Linked DNA regions of Oreochromis niloticus. The protein of the gene in region 2 purifies or fractionates together with the protein of the main gene of each other region. This does not show direct contact. Links are inferred from orthologs where the notes say so. Each region holds a gene or a part of one and is shown on either strand. Other genes may lie near its edges.

Region 1 (12,845 bases), on a different chromosome or scaffold from region 2:
CAACTAACCCTGCTTAGTGACGTAGTTAAGGCACTCCTCCTGAATGGACTTGTCATCTATGAGGCTCTGGACTTTTGGGGTGGTGCAGTACACATTAGAGTACTAGAGAAAGACAAGAAGGCAACCAGAACAAGTCATCAGGAAGTATTAGCCACTTTTAAATAACTTTAATTTTTTCACAGCAGAATATCAGAAAACTAGAGCCTTCCCTCACTTAAAAAACCTGCCCTAACATTTTGTATTCAAAGTGGCGCATAGAGAGCAATGTGCAGTATATAAATTGACTTTCTTTTGAAATACATGAACCCATTTATCAGAATGGCCTTCAGAACTGATGCTTGCTTTACGGTTATTATTTCTGCACAAAAAGATCCACTTTCACAAAAACAGAAAAAAAAAAAAAACATTTCCAGAATAAAGAAGGAATAATATGAAAAAAAATTACAACTTTTCAATTAAAACTAACATCCCGCAGACGGCCCTAATGGTCCCTGATAAACTGTTCCACTACACTCATATATGTGTGATGTGATGTGAGATTAGTTTAATACCTGGAAAATTGACACCAGAGTCACAACACCATAGTACCTGTGAAGTTAAAAAGAGAAGTAATTACATCTTTTTGAAGTGTATTTTGACTACAGAGTGAAAATGCAAGTACACCCCCTCATTCGGTAGCTTGAAAAACCACCTTTAGCTGCAATAACTTCAGCTTATCGTTGCCTCTATGACTTTATCAGTCTCTCGCGTCATTGTGTTATAATGTTTCCATTCACTGAGGTTTGTGGGCATTTATTTATGCACAGCTCTCTGAAGGTCCCACAACAGCACTTCAATCAGGTTTGGACTTTGACTGGTGATTGCAACATCCTGATTCTTTTATTTTTCAGTCATTCTGTTGCAGATTTGCTGCTGTGCTTTGGATCATTGTCCTGTCAGATAACCCAGTTTTGGCCAAGCTTTACAGTAGCTTTGGGACAGATGGCCTCACATTTGAGTCTGGAATATTTTGGGATACACAGGAGTTCATGGTTGACTCAATGACTGCAAGGTCACCAGATTCTGTGGCTGCAAAGTCCAAAACATCACCCCTCTACCACTGTGCTTGACAGCTGGTGTGAGGTGTTTGTGCTGATATGCCGTGTTTGGTTTTTGCCAAACAGCGCTGTGCATTCTGGTTAAATGTCAACACTTTTGGTCTCATCTTTCTAAAGGACATTGTTTCAGAAGTCTTGTGGTTTGTTCAGATCCAACTTTGCAAACCTACACTGTGCCGCCATGTTCTTTTTACAGAGAAGAAGCTACCTCCTGGCAGTCCTTCCAAACAAGCCATACTTCTTCAGTCTTTTTCTAATTGTGCTGTCACGAACTTTAACATGCCAACTGAGCTCTTGTGTGTGTGTGTGTGTGTGTGTGTGTGTGTGTGTGTGTGTGTGTGTGTGTGTGTGTGTTTAAGGTTTCTCTGAGTACTGTACGGCCTGACCTTGAAGTGAATCTGCTGGGATGTTAACCTACAAGAGGTCCTGGGAAGATTGTGGGATTGTGTTAGCACCCACCTGAATGGTCCAGAGCAGGAAACTATTAAAACTTCTGCATTTACAGAGGTGTTCACACTTGGTTTATCAGTTAATCAAAACAACGACATAAAACAGAGTTCTGTGATGAAGCAGTACGTGTGTGAGGTTACTGAAGAGTACAACTGTATTTGCTGAAAAATACTTACAGGAGATTCTGCACTGCGATACGAACAAGATTCAGCTCAACGTCTGCTTCAGCAGAAATTTTCTGGATGTGTCTAAATCCATCGATGTAGGGAAGAATCTGCAGTTAGCAGCAAATAGATAAGGGTTAGAGGCACGTAGTGCTATTTGCATTACTGGTTAACTAAATGCTGTAAACATGTTAACTTATAAAAGCAATAAAACAGTATTGTACCAATAAAGAGCATCTTGTCTTGCACTAATGCCTTCTTTCAAATCATAAAACAAAGGATATAAAAACGTGCTTATATCACTTCCAGCACAGCTGATAACAAGTGTTTAAACACTGATCTTTCTTCCAAGCACTTCTTAGAGTGCTATCAAATACCTCTCAAGAGCTGCAGCCAGAGGTTGTTGACATTGAAAGCCTACCTGTTGAGTGGTGAGATCCCACTGAGACTTGATAAAATGATCTTTGCACTGGGTAAAGACTGGCACGTCGTACTCCTGAACTATTGGGGGGTCTTTTCGCAGCTGGATCAGCTTTAGATGAATGGTGTTAGACTCATCTTAAAAAGGATACAACAAACAAGAGTAAGAGCGGTTTAAAAAAAAATCGTTTGATGACATCTGTTGCTGCCAACCAACATGTGAATACTGCCTATGTGCAGCTGGTAAATTCTTAAAATAAAATTTGACTCAGAAACATCAGCCTGCATTTCCCATCTCTGAATTTCTAAAAAGAGTAACAGTCAGAGCAAAGCTGCTTGCATAGTGGCACTGCTTTGTCTTGACTTACATTAACTAATCAATCCAAACAACCACATAATTTCACTTTGGACCATAGCCCAGGCAGCATGTTGGTTGGCTGATAAGGGCTTATCAGAGATATTGGAAAACTTGTTGTTAGGGAACATAATGCATAACAAAGCTCTCCTCAGTGGAAAGTGTGTGCTGTCCTACTGCCTGGATGTCTGCCACGCAGGGGCAACTACTAAAACCAGGAAGGCTATGCAGAAGGTAATTAATACTGCCCCCAAAATAAGTGGCTGCTCTCTGCCACTCCTGGAGATCCTCTTGTCTCAGGAAAACAAGGGCCATCACAGGTGACCCTTTGTGTCCCGCCACCCCTGTTTGACCCGCTGCCCTCTGGTCGGAACCTCCAGTAAATCAGGTCCCCCACCTCCAGACAAACAGTTTCTTCCCCTGGGTCATTCGGACTGTTGACAAACACAACCCCACCCCTGCCCTCCCACCCACCAACCAACCAACCAATCTGAGCCATGGCCTGAGTAAGCCTCATCAGCTTTTATCTTGTCCTGTATATATTTCTCCTGCTTGTTATTTATTCCTACTGTCTTACTATTTCTATTCTATTCCGGCACAGTTGGTGTGGATGACTCACAATTTAGTTGTACATGTATAATGAACATAATGGGCTATTCTATTCTATCCTATTCTATTCTAGATGCTTGAGTTCATTTAGAAATGCTGTAATGACATGATTTGTCTAGTAGAGCAGCTGCAGCTCTATAGTTTATGATCCTTTCAGTATGATCTGCAGCACAGTAACAGAGCACATGCCACAGTATTACTAAGTACATGGACATTATTACAGTTTTGGGCTTTTAAAGATTTCTCTGAGCTTTTCTTTTTCTAGGGTGGAATGGACATACAGCAGGCATCCTTAATGTACTTAAAAAATGCATGTTGTATTTACTCTAGTTATTGTCTAATATTAATATGTATTTGATGGAGTACCAAAAGGTTGATTCTGTTCATCTGGATGTAGCGTTTTTAATGGGAAAAACGTTTCGTCACTCATCTAAGTGACTTCTTCAGTCTCAGCTGACTGCAGGTTTCCCCAACCTTATAAACAGTACATTTGCACAATAACTGAAACCAGCCCACTGAATGAACAATGGGCTTGAGGTCAGTTCCTTGATCATTAATATGCAAATTGCCCATTGATCAACAACCACTGATCAAAGCCCATTGATCAAAGACCTGCGGTCAGCTGAGACTGAAGAAGTCACTTGGATGAATGACGAAACATTTCTTCCATTGAAAACGCTACATCCAGATGAACAGAATCAACCTTTTGGGATTTACTTACCTGGATGATTGAGCATGCATCAAGACATATTTGATGGAGTAATCAACTTTACCCGGATAACAGCTTTAAGTCTCTGCAGCGTCTGTATGTACTGATTTTTAATTACACAACATCATATTTGCGTTAATCTAGCTATAAAAGTAGACGGTAGGAGGTCGAAGCACATTTGAACTTTGGACCTCCACAGCCTGAAACCCACAGACTGTACAGGATTCAGTTATAAACGCTGTGTACATTTTGTATTTACTCAGGTCTTTAGTCTTTGTCTACAATTAAAATTTATTTTATGATCTAAAACATGTAAATGTGACAAATCAGGAAGGGAGCAAGTACTTTTTTACAGTACTGTAGCTCAGTCTTGGTCTCATCTGTCGATAAAACCTTTCTCCAGAAGGCATTTGGCTTATCTGTGTGGGCAGCTGTCAACTATGGAGCAGGGGTTTCTTTCTTGGTCGGCACCTATTTATGGCTGCTTTGAGCCTTGGTGGTTCCTGGGCTGTTCCTGAAAATCCTAACCAATTTCCTCTCATGTGATGTTGACAATCTTCCAGACTTCAGCAGAGTGTTGACACATCAGAATACATTGTACTTACATGTAGTTGTTTAAACAGATTATCTTGGAATCTGCAGTCAAACTTGTGGAAGGGAAATCTATAATTTCCCTTCCTATACCCATTGTTCTGAGTATTAGCCAATCTAATGGGTGATGTCAAACAAGCGTTTTTATGCTGGAAAAGAGAAAGTACCAGGAAAATCATGTAAAACGTGTAAATCATGATCACTAACAAGAAGTTAGTCTCGGAGAGTTAAAAGACATTGTAGAAACTTCAGCACCACTTATTAAAAGATTTAAGTGAATGTGTATATTTGAGTCTGTATGTATACTTCTGACCCTGTGTGGATTAGAGAAAATCCAAAATAAATTCTAATTCTTGTTTTTTTTAAGTCATTAAAGATTTAAAATAATTCCACCCCGGAAAAAAGAACAGTTCAACGAAACAGTCCAAAATTACCATGACATTCATGCCCATGATGAATGTGTGTAAACGTGTGACCACAGCTATATATTAAAAAGATATACTGCTCCTTGCCACAGATAAAACTTATAGCCAGTAAGATGCCAAATAATACCAATGGGTAGGCTGCAGGCTCCTGTGGCATTAAGATCCTCTAACAAAGTCGACATAATGGGTAAAAGCTTCTGTTTGCTCTCCTCATTGGATATAAAGCCGCTCTCCAGCTGCAACACAACAAGACAGAAAATCTCTAAGAAATCATCCTGAAGAAAGCGATCACATGAACATGTGAAAATATGATACTCTTTACCTCCAGAGTTGTAAGGTACCCAGATAGCTTCTTAACAATAGGCTCCAGGCCGCAAGTATTGGTCTGGGCATCGCAAACAAGGCCGAGGTTAAACAGGAGGGCATTTCGGCTATATTTCTTATGTTCGATGCACACGGGGCAGCCAATTAACTTTTTTCCCATTGCAGTGCTATGATTAAAAAAAGAGAGATTGGTTTATTAAGTTAATACACTATTATTTAAATACTAAGGACTTCAAACAAGGCAGGGAGACAGACGAGCAGGATAAGACTACATACACTGTTATTAATTTGTTTTGTAGCTCTGGCTTGGTGATGATATAAACCTGAACGGTGTCAAAGAGCTCCCGTGAGATGTACTCTTCTGGAACCTGTTAGGACACAGTATGACAAACTATACCCAATAAGATACATGAGCTCAGACGGATTATGCAGAGTACACGTCAATGCCAAATTACTATGAAGGATTAAATACCTGCCTCACACGTTTAAAACACACCCAGGGCACGAACAAGCTCGCAACTGGGGCAGTTATAAAGACAATCATAACGACAGTGGATATATAAAAAAAATAAAATAAAATAAAACTACTTTACCAGACCATCTGCACACTTACCTGATATGTTATCTTGGGTCCCAGAGTAGGGTGAAACTCACTGAAAAATATACACTCTATTCGAGTGGGCATGCCCATCATAGATTTTATCCTCATGGAGAACTAATCCAGAGGTGTGTAAACCCTGCTGAGCCCTATCAACTTGCCCCAAATTGCGTTAACAAGGTATCTCCTGTGTGTTTCCTCTGGGTCTTCCCAGTTTATTTACAGCAGCATGAGCTAGCATGTAGCTTTAACGTTTAAAAACAAGCTAGCGACGTCCTTCGGTACTTAAAAGCAGGTCTAAAGTTAAAAGACGCCCTATAAAATCTGTTATTAATGTATTAAGCAGAGGTTATGGTCACCCAGGCATCAAACTATTCAATAACTCGACACATCAATGCATGCAAAAACCAGACAGGGAAGAACAACAATAATATCGCGTTCAGGGACACCCAGTAACTTAGCCCTGGAATAAAAACTGCCGTTGCAAAAACTGTAAAGGCAACAATAAGACAGAGGAAGTCGTATGTATGTAGCACCAATAATGTTTTAAAATTAATATAAAAGTAACACGAACTCTGTTGTCGTATAAAAACGCTTTAAAGTATTGGGCCCCGAACAATTGCACAACACTAAGGAAATTTTCTCTTTTAGACAATTTAAAGGTTTCGAATAGTAGTATTTACCAAATGTAATACTACTTTTATTACTTGCTAATGACTTTTACATTTATAGATGCTATTTTACCATCTTACTTTACAGACTTAACGTCTATGACGGCAATGCTTTATATGTTTTACAGTCCGTGAAAGCAACGTCGTTCAGTAGCGTCAGCGCTGCGCAGACTGCGCCGCAGCCGCTCTCTGTGCCGCGTGCAGGACACATTTCGAGCCCCGCTAGTTAGCTTTCCGACACAGAAAAATGTTTGAATTTCATACAGGGCCGTAAAGTGTAGCATGTTGATCTAACCGACTACTGCCGCCATGCAGCGAGTTCAGCCCGAGAGCGCACAGACTCCGGAAACCCAATGAATAACGATGTAAAGACTTAATACTGTTAACCATGTGGACAAGGTCGCTGAGTACAAGCTACTACAGATGTTTTGGGTGCAGGAGTGGTGGACCAAAGGTAACTGGTCAAGTTATTTTTTTGACTTTTTTTCCCGGAAGTCGACACGTTGCGTCCAACGTGTTGAACAAACAAAAGCATGTCAGTGTCACGGCTTTAAAAACCAACCAACAGTCCAAACCTGTTTCCGTTGCCTTGCTAACTGGAAATATTACTCACATTACAAACTGACGCACCTGTAAGCACAGACCAAGTTACATGACTTTCTTGAACTGTTTATCAGTTGATTTCCATTGACGCAACTGGACCAAATCTGTTTTCTGTTATCTTCTTTTTAATAAAATAAAGTGGCAGGCACACACATTACAGAGGCAGCAGAGCTCAGACTGACTCAAGCCTTTAGGAAACTTCAGGAAAACATTCCTGCTGTTCTCGATAAAGCTTTACAAAAGCTCTCCTGCTTGTTGACAGGTGAACACACCTGTCTGCATTCCTCAGACTTATCAGTATCAAACCTTCCTGCTGCTTGCTGTCTGCTGGATTTGAAATTGTACTTGCTATTTATTGAAGCCGTTTGCACTATTATATGCTAGTATAATTTATTGTTTGCACAATCCCAGCCTTATTTTGTATTTATTTGTCTTTCTTTTGCTTCATTTTTTTTTAAATCACTGTTGCATATAAAATTTTGCACTACTTCACATTATAAGGCCTTTATTATGAGCCTGTGGTACTTTCAAGCAATTTTATTGTAGGTTATAGTTCTTTATGCTCCTGCTATCACATAGTAATTTCCCCTGCAGGATCAGTAAAGTGATGATCAGTAAAGTATCTATCTATCTATCTATCTATCTATCTATCATGACACATATCTTATACCCTATACTAAATAAATACTATATAAGCTTAAATAACTCAAATAAATAAATAAAAGGATTATTGTCCATATACATACAGTAACTAATAATAACAGTTCTCTCTTACTGGATTACATTAAACTGTGTGGAGATGTAGTAATGTAAGTTAACTTGACTTACAGATTCCCTATTAACCCCGCGGTTATAGGGAGGAAGTGAAAATTAATTATGACTTGTCAGTCAGACACATGTTATGAGTAATTGTGAGTGGTGTAAATAAATCATGATGATTTCCAAAGTTGCCGGAAATTCCCCAGAGGAGATGCTGAATGGGAGTCTAACATCAGTGTTAAAAAAACGCAGTTGGTTTCTGGATACTTGGAAATTTTATTTAAACTTTAATGTAACGGGTGCCAGTTTGGCTCCCTGGTTGAGCTGGTGAACATGTGCCATATGGTTCGGAACTCAGCAGCCTGGGTTTGAGTTCAACCCTCAGCCCTTTACTGCGTGCCTTCCCTCGTCCTTTCTCCCTTCTTTCCTTTCTACTCCTCACTGCTTCACTATCAAAATAAAGGCAATAATGCTCGCTATAAAAATAAATCCTAAGTGTAATGCTTTTAGGTACTTTGGAGGTCCCATGCTGTCCGTACATGCAGCGCTCCAGCCTTACCCGCAGGCAGGATTACACCACTTCAGGCGGTGAACTTATGGAAGAGGCACTTTGAGGAGAGAGCTGTGACGGAGCCTGAGCTGTCCAGCCAGTACATCATTGCTCATCTTCTCGGAGCTAAAACTGTAATTTGCTGAATCTACATTGCCTCAGCACTTGCACTGACATGCAGTAAACGTGGATCAAGTTCACATAGCGTTTCTTTATCCAGATAGAAAGTCTTGAGCAGGAGAGATTAACAGAGTTTCTCAGCCGAGAACAAACAGAGCAGATATGGAAGCTCTGCACCAGACGTCTCTCCAGGTGAGTTTGTGCATAGATCTCTCTATATGCATTTAAATGATTTTCAATGAAAATTTTTACATGGTTTCATGTGTGGGTTAGGATGCCCGTGCAGTACGTGATTGAAGAGTGGGACTTCAGGGACCTGACGCTGAAGATGAGGCCTCCTGTGTTCATACCACGACCTGAAACGGAGGTAGAAGAAAAGTCGAGGCAGCGCATGTTCACAGTGAAGACCCAGCGAATGATCACACATAAGCCAAAATGTGATTTTTATTTCGTCTTTGCTGATGCAGGAGTTGGTCGAGCTGGTGCTCAATGATCTGCAGATGAAGACTGAGATGGGCGTGCCTGATAAGATGGAGCCTACGTGCCTGGAAGTGGGATGTGGGTCTGGTGCCATTTCTCTTAGCCTGCTGAAGACACTGCCTCAGGTAGAAATTTGTGTTATAAGTTTTCAGATGAGTGGAATTCCAATAAGGCACACCACAGGAAAAAGGCTGTTTAACTTATTAATGAATTCCCCCTCACTTTGGGTCTTAATACACTGACAATGAGTCAAATTTTTCATTACTCCAGTGAAATTTATGCAGTGTATTGAGGTTTCTCATTGGTTGTGATATAACCACTGGTTGCTAGGGAAAAATGTGTATTCCCCCAACTGGTTCTCAGTTCTTCCTGGAGATTTCTACCCTCACTGGGTGAAATTGGTTGCATGGAAGCGCCAAGTTATTGCTGTGGTTGCTTTAGAGATTGCCGTTGTTGCCCTTCAGGCGTAAAATTTAAATTATATTTTCAAATGAAATAAAATAAGACATATATGAAGTCTAGACTAAGGCATAAAAATGTACCTTTACTCTGTTTTCTTGGAAAGCTTTCTGACATTAAAAGGAGGCAAGTTTTTGTGCTGCTAAATCCAGACGTTATGATAGTGTCGATTTTAATAATTAATATTAATTATAATTCAGTGTTCCACCTAACAACCCTCAGGTCAGTGGATCAGAGTTTAATGGCCCGTGTGCATTTTTATTGGCTTGTGAAAAAAGCTTTCATTTTTATTTTTTTTAAATATTTTTGCAATTTAATTAGCAAAGTATGTGATATTATTGCAGGTATCAAATGCCGTCAGCCTTCAGCACGCTGTATAATTGAACCAGTCTGGTATCAGACTAAGTTAACAGTTCATCTGCATATTGTAATACAACTTCTGGAGGCTTTCTGATTTTGACTGTGTAAAACTTATTGCAAATTCAAGAGTGGAGAATAGATTTATAGTTTGTCACATTAATATAGTGAATCCTGTCCAACACTACTATTGATATCAATAAATATGTTCTTTAGAACGTCCACTGACATTTCTAAGTGTGCTACTGGAAAGCACACAAATGTAAAATTATCCATGCATCCATCCATTTTCCCCTACTTATCCTTGTCAGGATCACGGGGAGGCTGGAGTCTATTCCAGCTGCCATAGGGCGAGAGGTGGGATACACCCTGGACAGGTTGCCAGACTGTCACAGGACTAACACTGGCAACACTAACCATTCCCACTCACATTCACACCTATGAGCAGTTTAGAATCACCAATTAACCTAACCCCACTAACTGCATGTGTTTATATTGTGGGAGAAAACCAGAGTACCCGGAAAGAACCATCCTCGACAGTAGGAGGAAAAATCGTCATCAAAGAAAATGGGCAAAACAGAAGCTCCACTCCCTTTAAAATATACATGTCCACTCTTGCCTGTTTATTTATTCTCTCTCTCTTTTTCTCCCTTTCTCTCCCTCTCAATGCTCCTCTCTGAGACTTTGTGCTGTCACCCAAAAGTTGAATGTAACAGTGAAACAGAGTTTGCAAAGCAATAAAAGGCATAAACTGATCCATGTTTATAACAATATTCAGACTGAATACGGGCTGCTACGGGACATAGACTTCCTTTTGACTTGCTCTCAGTTGGATCTGGAGCTGTAGTGTAGACAAACAATGAAGCGCAGAACAGGAATAGACATCTATAACAAACTAAAATAATAAACTACATCAGCCCCTTTTGCTGGCAGCTAGCGATATACCAGCAGACTAATGGCTCAGAAAGCTAAAATTAGCTAATAATCTTGAGTGATTTAGGCTACATTAGCTAACGTTTTTGACGCTATTTAGAGAACAAATAAAAATAAGCGGACACTTTCTAAGTCACAACATCGCCCCTGCATTATCAGAACAGTTTGCACTTTTGCTATATTTCAGTTAAAGTGTGTTTTAAATCTGCATCACTCATTTGTGTTATGAAATTGCCTCTCCATCTTCTTTCTGCTGCAGCAACGACAGACTTATTTAGTCCTTTAATGACAAACTGCCCTGCTGAGGCAGTAACGCCTCTGTGTGAGCGCACTGTGACATCATGACACCAACAACGCTGGGCAGTTTTAGAGGAGTTAGCAAAATATAGCGTTAGAAGACAATGCCAGAAAATAATATTAAAATGTATTATCATTACTACTATTATTATAGTTATTTTTAGGGATGCTGTGATGAAATATATCTATTGTAGGACTGTTTTTAGTCGCAAATGAGGGGGAAACACTTGCGTTTACATCGTTTAACACATGCTTCAGAGCCAAGCGTTAAATGAAGCATTGAATTATTCGCACTAGTTTATAGACAGGTCTGTCACTACCATTCAAACTATGATCACAGCAACATGCTGTAACACAAAGCGATCACAATGAGTTTTGTGACAACCAGTCAGAGAATACATGTTTTTCCCTAGCAACAGGTGGTTGTCAGGGGGTCAGAGTCCGGTCTTTAGGCATGTGTGGCTGCAGCTTTAACAATTATTTTCCCAGCGACTGCCATCAGCCTTCAGCAACCACTTGCAATCGGTCAGGGTAAACTCATTATTCCTCCATGACCCGGAGGTTGCCAGATGGTCACTGACAGGTCTTTAAGCCTGTGTGACCGGGGCCTTATTCGCTTGATCCTACACTGTCACCATGACAGTCCAAATAAGCTAACAACTGAATGTCTGGCAGTTAGTGGTCATGTCTGCAAAATCTCAAGACCCATATTTTTTTTGTTCCTCATTAACATCTGTCAGATGAGGTTGTGTTTTGAACATCTGTGATTTTGATCAGGATCCTCTTTGCAATCAGTAACGTTGTGTACAGACGTTCATGTTCTCTTCAGGAAGTTGTGACATTTCCTGTAGCACCAAGCATTTTCAAAACTAATCCCATATAACAAGCAAATGTCAGCTTGTTTAGATGCTGAACATGATGCATCAGTTCGAGAAAAATTACAAATTATGAAAAACAACAATGTAAGTTGGTGGGCAGTCATGTGTTATGAGAACAGTTTCAATCCTGGCATTAATTCTCTAAGTTGAATAAATTCCTCTGGAGGAATGGAACACCATGCTCACCTCGGTCAGGTACTGACAGGGGTGAATGTCATGGCCTTATTATACACTCAAACTGCTGTTTGAGCTTTTCGATCCATAGCCATTGGAAAGTGTTGCTCACTACTATTGTCAGCTTAAGTCTAAATAGATGATTGTTACTCTTGCCTTAACCTAACAGTGAGCATAGATACAAAGGCTGCAGCTTTTTATGTGTCATTGAGTTATTCTAAAGAATATTTGACAGTGGATTCTTTAGGCTGAGCTAATTGAGTGTTTTTTCGAGGCTTGTGATGACCGTATGTCAAGTTTCATTTTTTAATGAATTTATTTATTTACTATTAATAGATTATAACAGTGAAGGACCGGACAACCACAGCGTTACAGTTTGTTAAGTGTCTTTTTTATTTACAGAGTTAAGGTGCAGCTTTCCAGCTGCGTCGCTCTGCGCAGCACACACCGCTCTCTCGTCCGGTCCTCCTGAAATAGGGAAGGCATGACCCGGTGATGGAGAACAGCTGTGTGGGTCAACCTCCCCTGACACAACACCCTGAAGCCCCTGCTCCCCCCTCCCCTGTAGCCGAGCCACATCGATTAACAGTGAAAAAAAAAATCAATAGGATAACCGATATGATAAATCATTAGTTATAGATTTCCAGTTGATAAGCTGCTATCCTCACATCACATGTACATCTTCTCACCTCAGCTGATCAAACATGCACTCCAGTTATACTGTGTTTGCATATTTTAGACTCTCCTCTGTTAGCAGATTGTAAAGTAGTAAAAATGTCCAAATTTTCCCGTGCATACAAATACAGGAAAACAGAGAAAACG
Region 2 (12,864 bases):
CCTTTTTCATAGAGGTGTTTTATGACGGAAACGTAAAACATATCTTTTCCTGTGCACCTGAGGATTTTCCCACTAAACACCACTGGAGTATTACCCGAGTATTCATCATTGCGTTAAGAACGCCTGACCGCTTTTATGAAGTGGGAACAAAAGGGCCACTGTTGAGAAAAGTGTGCTTAGAAAAAAAAAAAAAGAAGGGTTTTTTTTCTAGCTTTCAAATGTTCGTGATATTAAAGAGATCCAATACCAGCACGCCATCGTAGGCTCCAGGCTCACTGGTGAGAAAGGCAAACATGATGCAGAGGTAGGGGTTCTTCAGCTGCAGCCTCAGAGAGCTGCACATCTCTCTCCACAGGGACGACTTTTCGTCAGTGTAGCCTGACAGAGCCATGGCAACCACATTCAGGTTCAGGTCACCTGTGAGTAATATGAAGTGAAAGAAGCAGATTTATTTACAGTCTGTAGTCTTCACTGTAAGAGCAGCACATCTGAAAAAGAGGATGAAGCTATTCTCACAAATAAAGCCAGATTAATGTTGGAAAAAAAACATGTCAGAATATTTTCCACAGTTGTCCTTTCACACATGTAGCACCCAGCAGGAAGTAATCTGCTTCGGATACATCCTCACTACTGGAAATGTTCGGCTCAGACTGAAGGCAGAACACTTGACACCCACTCACTGGACACAAATGGACAAAACATAGACTTTGTACTGGGAAGCTGGCAGGTTAAGTCCATTTAAACTCTCCTCTTACTGCAGTGGGCAATTTAGCTCTCATATACATCTACATGAGGTAATATGTAGAAATGCTCACAGCTGCAGTGCATGTGTGAAAAAGGTTATGGCAGCTGTTCAAGGTGATGATTTTATTGCTTAGAAGGGGGAAAAAAGTGTCCTACTTTTTATTTTTTAAGGCTAACCTATCCTAAACCAGCTCCATATCCCTTTTGTCATACTGTGGGCTTTATTTCAAATTTAAACTGCAATTTCTTGCTAAATAAAAGAACTTTTAATGACTTTGCCTCCCAACGTAAGACCTATCATAAACCCTAACAGAAATCTCTATACAGCACAGTTTTTATTACATATTATTACCTCCAGATATATGACCGGGTGAGGCTCGGAAAATACCTAACTGAACTACTCTGGTATAACAAAATGTTGGTTTAAGGTTGTACATTGGAATCAATACATTGTAAGTCAGAGCTGCAACGCTGAAAGTCCTGAGATGGCTCTGTTGACACATCTTATCTAATGAATCACTCTGTCAGTCTTACTCAGGAAACACTTATTAGAGCACACAACAGAAAAGCGTTTGACCTACATTTGTGTAATTTTTTTTCCTCAGTTAAGGCGTGTGTAAACAGCAGCCATTTCTCTCCATTTTCATTAAACTTCAGTGTAAAAAACATGTGATTCCTGCTGTTACATTAATGAAATTCCCCTTTTTTCAAAGACTTCCATTTCATTTTTCAAGAGATTGCTTGATGTAGAACACAATTTTCATCAATAACTGTTTGTTCAAATTAAACAAGCCAACATGGAAGCAATAGAAAAGCTGTGATTAGGATTTGATCATTGTTTTCTTACATTTTAAAGACCAAACAATTACAATTACATATATTTGATACATGTACAGTTATGTAGTCTGTCTAAAGTATCTCCCCTTACATCAAATTACTTTCTCTCGCCTTCCTCTCGTCCCTAAAAGCTCTCACCTTTCTCTGCCATGGCTCCCTTGTTGAGGATCTGGATTGCCCGGCGGATGTCCAGGTTGAACAGAGCGACAGCAGCTGCCCGCTCCCACTCGTGTTCCTGTTCCAGTGATCGCAGGAAGTTCTCCACATCTGTGTCAGTTCCCCTGCTGATCCAGCCACAGAGCCGCAGGGCAAGGCAGCGCTCCTCACTGTGGTACCGCAGCACATCTGTCTGCCGGTCCGAGCCAATCCAACACCTGCGGCTTTCGGTTGTCCCTTTGGGACCACAAAGACAAACACAGGAAGTCAGTTTTTCAGTGTATGAAATTTCAAATAAACACAGTTACTGTGAAGTGTCCTGTGGCACAGACAATCAGTTGGTTATTTGTTTTACCTGAGGTTGTCTTGACAATGTTCTTAATCCCAGAATAAACCACAGACTGTACGTTCCCCTGAAGTTTTAGCTCCATATCCTCCGCACACTGTTTCATATGTGATACTTTCATAGGAACTGTAACAGTGTGCAGTCCACACAACATAATACAGGCACATAACAAGGCAACTACAACATTAATCATTTTAAACTTGAACAACGACAAAAGTAAATAATGTATTATGTTATATGTGTTAATATGTTTAAGTTATTTTTACTATGGTTATAAATCGTTTGCATTCATTCATTTTTCCTTAGTTATTCAAGCACTGCCTGCAGTGACGTTATATCCCACCAGGGGGCGCAGGTGGGACATAACGCCAGTGAGATGCATTCAAACACTGCCCCACATTTTAATCTGTCACCATCTGAGGATGTTTAGAACTATTCAATGTATTTATAGGCAACCAAAAATGATTCAAAACTTAATTAATCAGTGAATCAACATTAATGACTCAGTTTGGGAGTAATTTTAGAATCCTTTTTGACTTTCTTGCCAAACGTTCAATAAGAAAGCTCTCGTGTTTGCACACTAAATAAGAATAACATAAAAGGTGTTATTATGCCCATTATAGGCTTCATAGTCTTAATGATAAGCTTTTTAAACGTTGAATTCTTTACTGAACTAATTTGAAAGGTTACATTTTGAAGTAATAATAACAATAATAATAATAATAATAATAATAATAATAATGATATAAATATCTACTCTATAAAGTCTTTAGAGGAGAAACCTTCAAATGAGGAGAACCATCATCGGAGCAATGAAGCACTTCACTTCTGCTTTGTAAAGTAATAAAAATAACCTGCATACAGTTTCAACAGGTGGCTGACTGTTTTTCTCTGCCATTAAACAGATTATCAATAAGCCATCGTGCAGATATTTCCACCATTTCATCACCTGAAAGGATATAGAACAGATCATGCCATAAAGACTTAAGTTGGGCATCCTTCCCACCCGCCAGCAAATGGTTCCTCCACACCTGGACGGTATCATGTCCGTACCTGGACTGAGCCCTTTCCCTCATTTTAGTGGCAATGTCTTTCTCAATCATACTCTCCACTCCCTCCGCCGAATCCTCAACACACTCGTACAAGTGTCTACCACACGCCCACATGAGAGAGGTGGTGGAGCTCCATGCCAGTGAGATACGTTCAAACACCGTGAAGTCAGTCATGACACGGTTGGTTGCTGACACCACCACCATGCGGTTCTGAGAGGATGGGTGCCAGGCAAAGCTGCCAATCTGACTTTCACAGGGCTGCACACTGCGCTCAATGATGGTGGGCTCCGTCTCATCACCTATGGGTGTGGGAGTGTGCTGCATGTCGTACAGGCGGATAATGTTGCTGTCACGCGTTAGCGTGGCCAGTAGGCCAGTACGGGTTGGACACCATGCCACCTGAGAACAAAAAGCAGAATTTTATCAGCTATAAAAAAATAAAAAGTGGAAAAAAAAAAGACTTCTACTGAATAAGCATGCCCTGACTGTGAAACCCTGAGCTAATATAAACCTTTAAAATAACAATGTGACATTTTTAATGCATCTTAATCTTATTTTTGATATCATTTATTACCTCTTTTTTCATTTAAATGAAACAGGTCTTTGTGACAAAGACCAAGTAAAGAGTTTAAAATTATTTGAGCATTTCATTACTCTGTCTTTGAACATTTAGGCCAGGGGTGTCCAATCCAGGCCTCGAGGGCCGGTGTCCTGCAGGTTTTAGATGTGTTCTCGATCCAACACAGCTGATTCAAATGGCTAAATTACCTCCTCAACATGTCTTGTAGTTCTCCAGAGGCCTGGTAATGAACTAATCATTTGATTCAGGTGTGTTGACCCATGGTGATATCTAAAACCTGCAGAACCCCGGCCCTTGAGGCCTGGAGTTGGACACCCCTGATTTAGGCAATCTAAAATTGACGGGTTACAAACAAGCAAACAAGCTGACATCTTATTTTCTAATAGACCAGTGGTTCTCAGAATGTGGGGCATTGAGCAACTGCTGAAGAGGCGTGGAATGACCAGAGGTTATTCCCTGAAAAATCAATCTGTGCCTCCCACCTGACCCTGCCAGAATCAGCTGACTTCTTTTTTGGTACAATAATTTTAGTATATGTAATGCAGCCAAAACAAATTGTACCGTAATAGTAAGAAAATATTTGTCAAGTTACAGACACACTGTAATTTTGAATTTGGTAAAAAAAAATTCCAGCATTTCCAGAAAAGGAGATAACCACATGAAAATTTCAGAGATAAAAAAAAAAAAAAAAAAAAAAACACAAACACAGTTTGTTTGTTGTTTTTTAAACTGCAATTGAATCAACTTTAAACCCACTCATTATCATGGTTGTAGTTCCTCGAGTAAGTATTTTCAAATTCTGGGTTATAAAATACAATTATGTCACAACATTTTTTGACACAGAAGGAGTCACAGCCAGATGAGAAGCCTTGTATGAAAATAAGATATGTCATATGTTATCACTTATTTTTAAATGAGCCACTTGTCATGCTGACCTTTATTTCACTAAAATTGAACTTACAAACTTTGTAGATATTAATAAATGATAGAAATTTTAAATGAGGAATGCAGAAGTCTGAAAGTTAACATGACCAATACACAAAGCTAGTATATTAGTGCATCCTTATTACTGTGGCCTTTGGTTAGTTTTCTTTATAACAAACACCATCCTACCTTTGTGAGTGGCTTGGGCTGCTCAGTCAGCGTGAGCACAGGCTTCTCAAATTTCCTCAGATCCCAAATGGCCACCTGCCCCTCAAAGAAAGAGGCCACGCGGTCATGGAAGTGCGGGTCGACTGTCACACCTTGGATGGCTTTCGTGTTTACAAATGTTTTCTGACTCGTGTTTCTCAGGTCAAATATCGCAAGGTTCCTGTGCATGCCTGCCAGCAACAGCTTTGGGTCACGGAGCAGCCAGCAAAGCGAGAGGCAAGCATCGTTCTGGCCTAACTCATACAACGGCTTGGTCACCACTGTGCTAGAGTCCAAATCGACAGATGAAAGGCGAATCTTCTCAGCTGCTACACTGGTCTCTGGGGACAATTTACTGCTGATGTCCCATATGAGGACAGAGAAATCTGCCCTGTGCTTGTCTAACCCAGCAGCCAACAAGTTGCTGTCCACAGGGTTCCAAGCTAAAGTGTTGCACTGACGGGCATGTTTGGGCACAAACTCTTTCCCCACCAGCTCTTTGCATGCAGAGTTGTGGCTCTGGCCCAAGCTGGTAAGCACAACCCTGCCGTTGGCTTGGCCAACGGCAAGTAAACACTCCGGCTCGTGCTTGGGGTACCAGGCCACACATTTCATATAAGGGGTGTCAGAATTGATGGCCAGTAATGTAGCAGCAGTTTCCTCGGAGAGTGGGAGGGTGCCAGCCTTGGCTTCTGCGCTGCCCACAGGTCCGATCCGGTACAGTCCCAGTTCAGAGTCACAGATGACGTAGCGGTCCGGGTGGTGGGGGGACCACAGGATGTCGGGCTTGGAACCGCTCATGATTCAGAAGCTAGTAGGTTTTCAGGGAAGTTTAACCTCTCCAGCCTGAAAATACGGCAGAATATCACACAAACGAGCACATGAACAAAGGTCAGAGACAGCGCAGAAATATTACACATCTCCGACTGCAGTGGTCGCAACGTGGACAACAGACAGTTCTGAGAAGTCTTTTAACATGTTAAAGTAATGATACAATGAACCAAACCGTCAATATAACCTAAATTCTGTGTGGAAGTGTAGCACAGTTGGTTTGAATTCATCGCCCAGCATGTTAAAAAGCTGCCGTGGGCAGCTATAGTATTACTTTTAAGTTTGTTGACATGCTAGCTAAACTAAGCTAATGCTAACAAGTAAAGGGAGAGCAAGCGCGTGACCGTTTCGCTCGCGCCAGTTTAACCAGCAGTCGAAAACATCCGTTTGAGCATTTCGAGAAGAGGTTTTACTTACATAAACACAACAAAGACGACTTATAGGAACGCACGAGATACAGCTTAAAATACACATGTCGACCAGGGGCAACCTGGAGCCAAAGCGGATGTTGTGTGTTACACCAAAACATGTCCGTGTTATTAGCAACGTCAGCTACTTCATGTTCCGCTAAAGATGAGGTTTACCAGCAGAGGGTGCTAAGTGAATAAAAAAGAGAAAAGAAGTCAACGAAATCAGCCAGTTTTATATAAGAAATTAGGCAATTTCAGATCATGACTATTTAAGTTAATTAATTTATTAAATGTATTTAAGCAATAAGAGTTGAGTTGTCGGACTGACAATGTTATTGAAATGAGGTCGATTTCTGCGCGGTACAAGAGTATCATACTACCACAATTCATCTGCTTTTCACATTAGTGGGGGAGAGTGGAAAATGCAAGAGAAAGAAATTCATTTGGGATTTTTTGCAGAACCATTTTCCTTAGTAATCAACCCATGATAGCCAGAAAACTGACACGTTTGTTAAGGAAAACAAGATGCCGAGAAAAAAAATACTTTAAAATTATTTTATCCCTGCAAACTAATGTAGTCTGCTTTATTTTATGTTGGCAGTGGTTTTTAGATGCATTATTTATGACTTGGAGTGATGACTATTGCAAATGCTATTTATCTGGCGTCTCAAAAATCTAAATGATTCCAGTGCATGGACTCAATGTGCACAAAAGAGTTTCACGGGATCCCTTCTGTCAGGCATGAAGCGTTGCACTGGACTAAAATGTTGGAGCGGCACCAGGGAGGGCCCCCGGCTACAAACACTCTGACACACACAGCACATCAGCTCATGCGATGGTCCTCAGTTTATCTCAGTCTGGTTTATAGGGACCCGGGGTTCCGCGGAGAAATGCCTCTCAAAGAGCTGACTGGACTACAAACACTGGCTGCAGCTAAATGAGATTCGAGGTAATAAAAAAAAAGATATCTTTGCTTTGTTTTTAAAACTTTTTTTACAAAGTAGTGACACTCGTGGTGTCACAGTTTGAATGGCAACTTCAGTATTTGCACTGCAAACTAGGTACTTTGCTGTGACCTTTTCTCAATCACCTGGCAGCTTTAACTTTATATTTGTTTAGATTCTGCAGCATTTGTAACCTGTTAACAGAAAAGTATTTGCACAGATTATTCTGGTTTTACACACATTTACATATTGTTGGCACTGTAATATAGTAAGTATTTGAGAAAGTGCATTATCAGTAGGAGGAACGGTGTCACCTAAGCAAATTAATACCATTAGAATTGCTGCCGTTGCAGAACACAGCTCCCTTTTTTGGGATCTGCAACTGGGTGTGGTTAGCAGTGTCCATGATAGTAAAAGGAATCCTGTTAAAGATGAAATAACTCATTGTGCTTTGCATACACTGCTTTCCCCCCTAACATTCTCCTCTTTTCTCTGTTAGGATGTTGCTGAAGGGAAACCTGAGCAGAGGAGTCGGGGTCTGCCTTCTGCTGCTGGCTCTCCTACACAAGGCCACAGGCCAGAGGAGAAAGACAGGGCGCAGGAACAACTACAGGCTGCAAGATGAGGGAAGAAATGGTAATTTTTAGATGAGGTCTCCACATGCTGGTGGTGAAAGTCACTATGTTGCATTGACAGAACAAATTGTTGAATGAGGGATGGTGAAATCAGGCCAATGAAATGGTTGAGTCATCAAATTTTAAGTTAAAATAAAACTACATGAGAAGTTCTTAAGTCATCCACCCACGATGCCTTCCTTTAAGTGCCTTTTTTTTTAAATGTAAAAAAAATGGATGGATTATACATGTGGCAATTTGATTTCATTTAGTACAAAAACAAACACCATTAACTCTGATCCCATTGCAACTGAAGTGAGGAACTTTAACTAAAGTAACTGTAAGTTCTAAGGTTGGAAGTTGACAATTTGGGGTCTTTCACTTGGTCCTTGAGCCTTTACTTGACAGTTTTAGTAATGTAGAACTACTCAAAACTGTTGCTTTACTTTTCCACAAGCTGCACTTACACTGACTTGCCACAAAATTAAGTCTCTGTATTTATTATTTGTGTAGCTTCCCTTCATGCTGCCAAAACGGCTCAGGACACAAGACCTTTATAGGTCTCCTGTGGCATCTGGTATTAGGAATTTGGGAGTGGGTTTTTTCCCCGAATCAGGTTTATTCCAGAATATTTCATGAATTAATGATCACACTTGAACCCACAGCTGTTCGATGTGTTCCTCGAGACATTAGAGCACTTTTGACAGTGTACATGGATACATACCGACTGCTGGCAGAAGGGACTGAATTTGTGGAAAGAAGTTAGAAAGGAGTCAGAGTGCCAATCCTGAAATTAGTCCTGTTTCTAATACTTCTAGCTTCATGTGAGTTTTTGTGATCTCCTTCTCAAGTAGGTCTGACATGTTCACTGGAAGTGGCGTTCATCCTGGACAGCTCTGAGAGCGCAACCATATCACTGTTTGAGAAACAGAAGACCTTCGTGTTGAGCTTCAGCACCCGGCTCGCCATGCTCCAGGTACCCGGCTGGACGATGAAGGTGCGGATGGCTGCACTGCAGTACAGCAGCACTGTGTCCATAGAGCACAGATTCTCAGCCTGGAAAGACCTGGACTATTTTCACGGTCAAGTCAGCACCATGAACTACATCGGTCACGGCACCTATACCACCTACGCCATCACCAACGCCTCACAGCTGCTGGTGCATGAGACCTCAAAGGACAGCGTGAGGGTGGCGGTGCTAATGACAGATGGAGTCGATCATCCCCGTAACCCTGATGTGATTGCAGCTGCTGTGGAGGCCAAGGGTCATGGCATAAAGTTCTTTGCTGTTGGGCTATCAGATATTGCCCAGCAGAATATTGCCAAGCTCCGGGCCATCGCCAGCACACCTGCTCAGCAGTTTGTCCAAAGTATGCTCGACTCTCAGCTGGAAGAGAAGCTGCTCAAAGAGATGGTGAGTGTTGGCTTCACGTAAAATGAGCTCAGGCACAGAGGTGCAAGTACAGAGTCGAGAAACATCAGAGTGGTGAAATGCTTTTTTAGAAAAACGTCGTGCTTGAAAATAAACTTCAGTTATTGAAGAGCCTGACAAAGCTTACTGAATGGCAAAAAAGACGCTTACTATAAAGATGCTGACTATAGATTCAGTCCAGAGAAACAAAAAATATACTATATGAGTGCTACCACAGCTACTTGGTTACTTCCTGTTTTAGTTTGAAAGTTCTGGAAAAGGACTGGGACTGTGTAGTACCTATCGAGTTCTACCGACTATTCAAAGGCTTATCTATGCCACATCTTCATACAGCTAACTTAAATGTCTCTGGAAAGTTTGAATCCATAACTGTCTTGCGATAAGGTGCCTGGGTGATTGAGCATGCATCAAGACAATACAGGAGAAAGTTTTTATAATATTATTATGTAATAAATAAATTTATATTAAATAAATCAATTCTCCACATTAAACATTTCTAAATTAGGATATAGTAAAACCTCAAAGTCCAAGACTAAACCAATCATTTCACCTAATTTACCTGAATTCTTTTACCACTCACAGAAAAAGTTTATGAATTTTCATTAAGGGCTATCTTTGTTCTTGACTGTGCCCTCAGCAAAGAAGAGTGTTAACAAGAGCTGCAGTGTAGCTAACAATCTATTTTAAATTGACTGGGTGGTTAAATTTCTTAGTAAATAGAGCAGAGGATGCACTAAACACAAGGTGAGCATTTCTACCCTAAAAGATCATAAGTCAAAGTATCTTAGAACTATCAGGCAAACTGCTTGCATGGTAGCTTTATGGCATTGGGTGGATGACAGGCAAATATTATAAAAGTATAACAAATAAAACTTTATAACCTCTTATCAGAGAGTCGCCCAGGTGTAGGGTATTTCTAAATACCCCTGTGGTGGCCCCTAAAGAAGAAGTTTAAACACAGCAAGCCCTAAATGAGTCACTTCTTCCCTGGTTGATGTTAAAAGAGGCTAAAAGTTTAGCGTTTGACAGATTAGAGGTTTATGTACAAACAGAAGAAATTAACCTTTGCTTTGATGTATGTTTTAGTGCTACATTGCTCAATTTCCCTTTTTTGAAAGAGTTTAACAATCCTGAAAATCACCTTAACTGTAATTAAAAAAAAAAAAAATGAAACCAGAATGTGGATGCTGTCACTGTAACACAAATGTGCACTACTGATACCTATAATTCAGCAGCTCCTTTTAATAGAATATGACTTAGGTATCTGACATCCCGCATACTCTCCTAAAATTATTGACATCAGCTGCTGTGTCTGGAAGTGGGCTACAGAGATCATCCTCTGTTTAGTCTTGTTCATGCTCATGCTGTCCTCACAGCGGGTTCACGTCTCAAGTCACAGAGTTGTGTCTGCATGAGGGTGTTTTCCTGACTGCTTTGCATTTTCCACAGCACCCAGAAATGTCAAATATCTGCAGGAGGTCACGGCTAGTCTGAGAGACTGGCACGACTTGTTCTGCTTTTCATTAATGTGCGATTTTATTCAATCACATTTAGCACTTCCAAAACAGAGACAGCTACATGACAGAGGACAGTACCCAGTTTTATCAAATGTAGAACTTATAGAACTTATAGAGGTTACGTACCTGCTATGCTGAGGCAGCTCCCATACCCAAGTGCCCCAAAAGCTTAGGTTGAGTTCACATGATTAGATTTATTGTTCTTTAAAAATTGTACCATGAAATGTCATCATTAACAATGACAGATTTTCAGTTTTCATCTTGTGCCCAAAGCCCAAAGTTGTCAAATCCTCATTGTTTGTTGTAAAGTTGTCTTTTAGCGTATTGTGTTTTTATATCTTTCTATATGTGTTGTCACAAGGTAACCAAAAACCAGTTGGGATTAGTTCACTGGAAATAATAATGTAAACACAGCTTTAGAGACGATTTTCAGGTTCTGTGAAGTACAAGTGTCCTGCAGATAGTATTTCATGAAGAGTAAAACTACATACAAGTCTGAAAATCACAAAAAAATTATTTACATAGTTCATGGCAAACAGAAATATTTAGATCCTTTATCCAGATAGGATAAAAATATCCTGTTATAAGTTACAGACATGGGCAGCTGCTGACAACACAGACAAGCAATGCCATTACATTTCTTCCAAGTACACTTTGCAGAAATGGAAAAAGAAAAGACAAGTTGGTGTGTAGTGTTGCTTAAGACACGTCAGTGTGGTCACAAAAAAAAGAAAACAGCCATGAAAGCATTCGCCAGAAGGCTTGGATTCACCTATGATGTCACCTGGACCCAGTCAGATCATAGTGGAAACTTTAACAGGTCTTAAGGTAAAGGGGAAAAGTACTGACTTTAAAATACTTTAAAGTAGAGGACACATCTGCTGCCAAGCAATTAGTACCATTCCTCAGTGGGAGTCAGGCTTAGACTGTAGATAAAAGATGGACGTAACTGACATATTTTTTTATCTTCTGTGTTTTTTTTTCACAGGTTGCAGTTGCATATGAAGGGGTAAGAATTAAAATGGAAGTCAACATCTCTTAAGTACGGCTAATGGTTGCACTGACTTTATAATATTTTTCTCGCTCTGATAGTGTCCACAGGCCCAAGTATGTCTGTGTGAAAGAGGAGAGAGAGGTCCTCCAGGAAGTCCTGTGAGTTTTCAGAAACCAAACATTGATGAGTTTCATACGTGGAAAACACTATTAGCTTTACAGCTTAATCATTGCTTCATCTTAACACTTGTAATATTTGCAGGGTAGAAAAGGAGACCCAGGCTTCAGAGGGCCAGCTGGTCAAAAAGGAGCGAGGGTGAGTCGTGACACAAAGAAAGCCTTTCTAAAATATTTCAGTGTTTAATTAGTGGGCCTCTGTTTAAAGGGGGAGCCTGGGCTGAATGGCACACCTGGAAGTGATGGTCCACCGGTAAGAAAGTAGATTTGTCCCTTGTTTTTGCACAACTGCCAAACAGCATGCATGTTAAGAGATGAAACATCGATTTTGAACCTGTTTGAATCGTTTGCAGGGCCGCACAGGTTACAAAGGCAACAAGGTGAGTGACTGTGACCTTTCAGCTGCTCTGTTCTCACTATTGAAAGATGTCCTCTGAAAATATCTGCAGGGTCTAACGTTGTGTCCTGTGGTCTTGTAGGGGGACAGAGGAGACTGTGGCGCTCCTGGGGAAAAGGGTGACACTGTATGGTCATTTTTTTCCTGAGATGTTTCAGTAAACACCCCAGACTTTGTCCATGTAGTGACATAGGTTTTATGTTGCAGGGCCCAGAGGGTCCTCCGGGCCCACAAGGACCAAAAGGAGCACAGGTAAGAGTGGCCACCGGTCTCAGTTCTGGTCTTGTTTTATACTGAATTGTGACAATTATGGGCCTTGGTTTAAATCCCACATTTTTTGTGAAGCTTTCCTGACTTTTTGTCTACATTATTCACACACATGTGAATGCATGAAATGAGAGGATAAAAAGATGTCCATGTAATTCATGGAAGGCGACCAGACCAACTGTTTATACAAGATGGAGCCACTGAGTTGTCACCCACTGATTTGATGATGGTATAATTTATCTTTAAAGACAACAGATTTTTAATGAATTTGGACTTTTTTCAATCACAAGCAATTTTCTATTTTTCAGTGTCAAAATTTAAGTTCCATTACTTTCAAAACTCATCGCTCAGACTCCTGAAAAGTCGACATCCGACAGTCGGTATTCTCTTCAATATGAAAAATGGAAGTGGAATTTGTCTTTTATTCGTCTTTGCA

What was found.
Region 1: the proteins of mios (region 2) and nprl2 purify together in Homo sapiens (affinity purification with western blotting; 3 studies listed by BioGRID and IntAct, with this or other methods). This does not show direct contact. The link is inferred for Oreochromis niloticus from reciprocal best matches to the Homo sapiens genes MIOS and NPRL2.

What each region holds. Positions count from the first base shown.
Region 1 is NC_031970.2:17,679,697-17,692,541, forward strand, and holds the start of nprl2 (GATOR1 complex protein NPRL2), read right to left. Parts: upstream 6,179-12,845; 5' UTR 5,854-6,178; coding exon 5,758-5,853; intron 5,536-5,757; exon of another isoform or gene 5,513-5,535; coding exon 5,421-5,512; intron 5,312-5,420; coding exon 5,143-5,311; intron 5,057-5,142; coding exon 4,948-5,056; intron 2,270-4,947; coding exon 2,133-2,269; intron 1,822-2,132; coding exon 1,724-1,821; intron 589-1,723; coding exon 552-588; intron 103-551; coding exon 9-102; intron 1-8. Other genes in the region: hemk1 (MTRF1L release factor glutamine methyltransferase), read left to right, coding at 6,802-6,867, 8,286-8,459, 8,546-8,637, 8,719-8,812, 8,913-9,050. UniProt on the Homo sapiens protein: Catalytic component of the GATOR1 complex, a multiprotein complex that functions as an inhibitor of the amino acid-sensing branch of the mTORC1 pathway.
Region 2 is NC_031976.2:33,236,056-33,248,919, forward strand, and holds the start of mios (GATOR2 complex protein MIOS), read right to left. Parts: upstream 5,685-12,864; 5' UTR 5,648-5,684; coding exon 4,829-5,647; intron 3,535-4,828; coding exon 3,045-3,534; intron 2,192-3,044; coding exon 2,093-2,191; intron 1,975-2,092; coding exon 1,720-1,974; intron 418-1,719; coding exon 248-417; intron 1-247. Other genes in the region: col28a1b (collagen, type XXVIII, alpha 1b), read left to right, coding at 7,532-7,667, 8,500-9,059, 11,583-11,603, 11,687-11,746, 11,850-11,903, 11,973-12,017, 12,118-12,144, 12,244-12,288 and 1 more. UniProt on the Homo sapiens protein: As a component of the GATOR2 complex, functions as an activator of the amino acid-sensing branch of the mTORC1 signaling pathway. The GATOR2 complex indirectly activates mTORC1 through the inhibition of the GATOR1 subcomplex.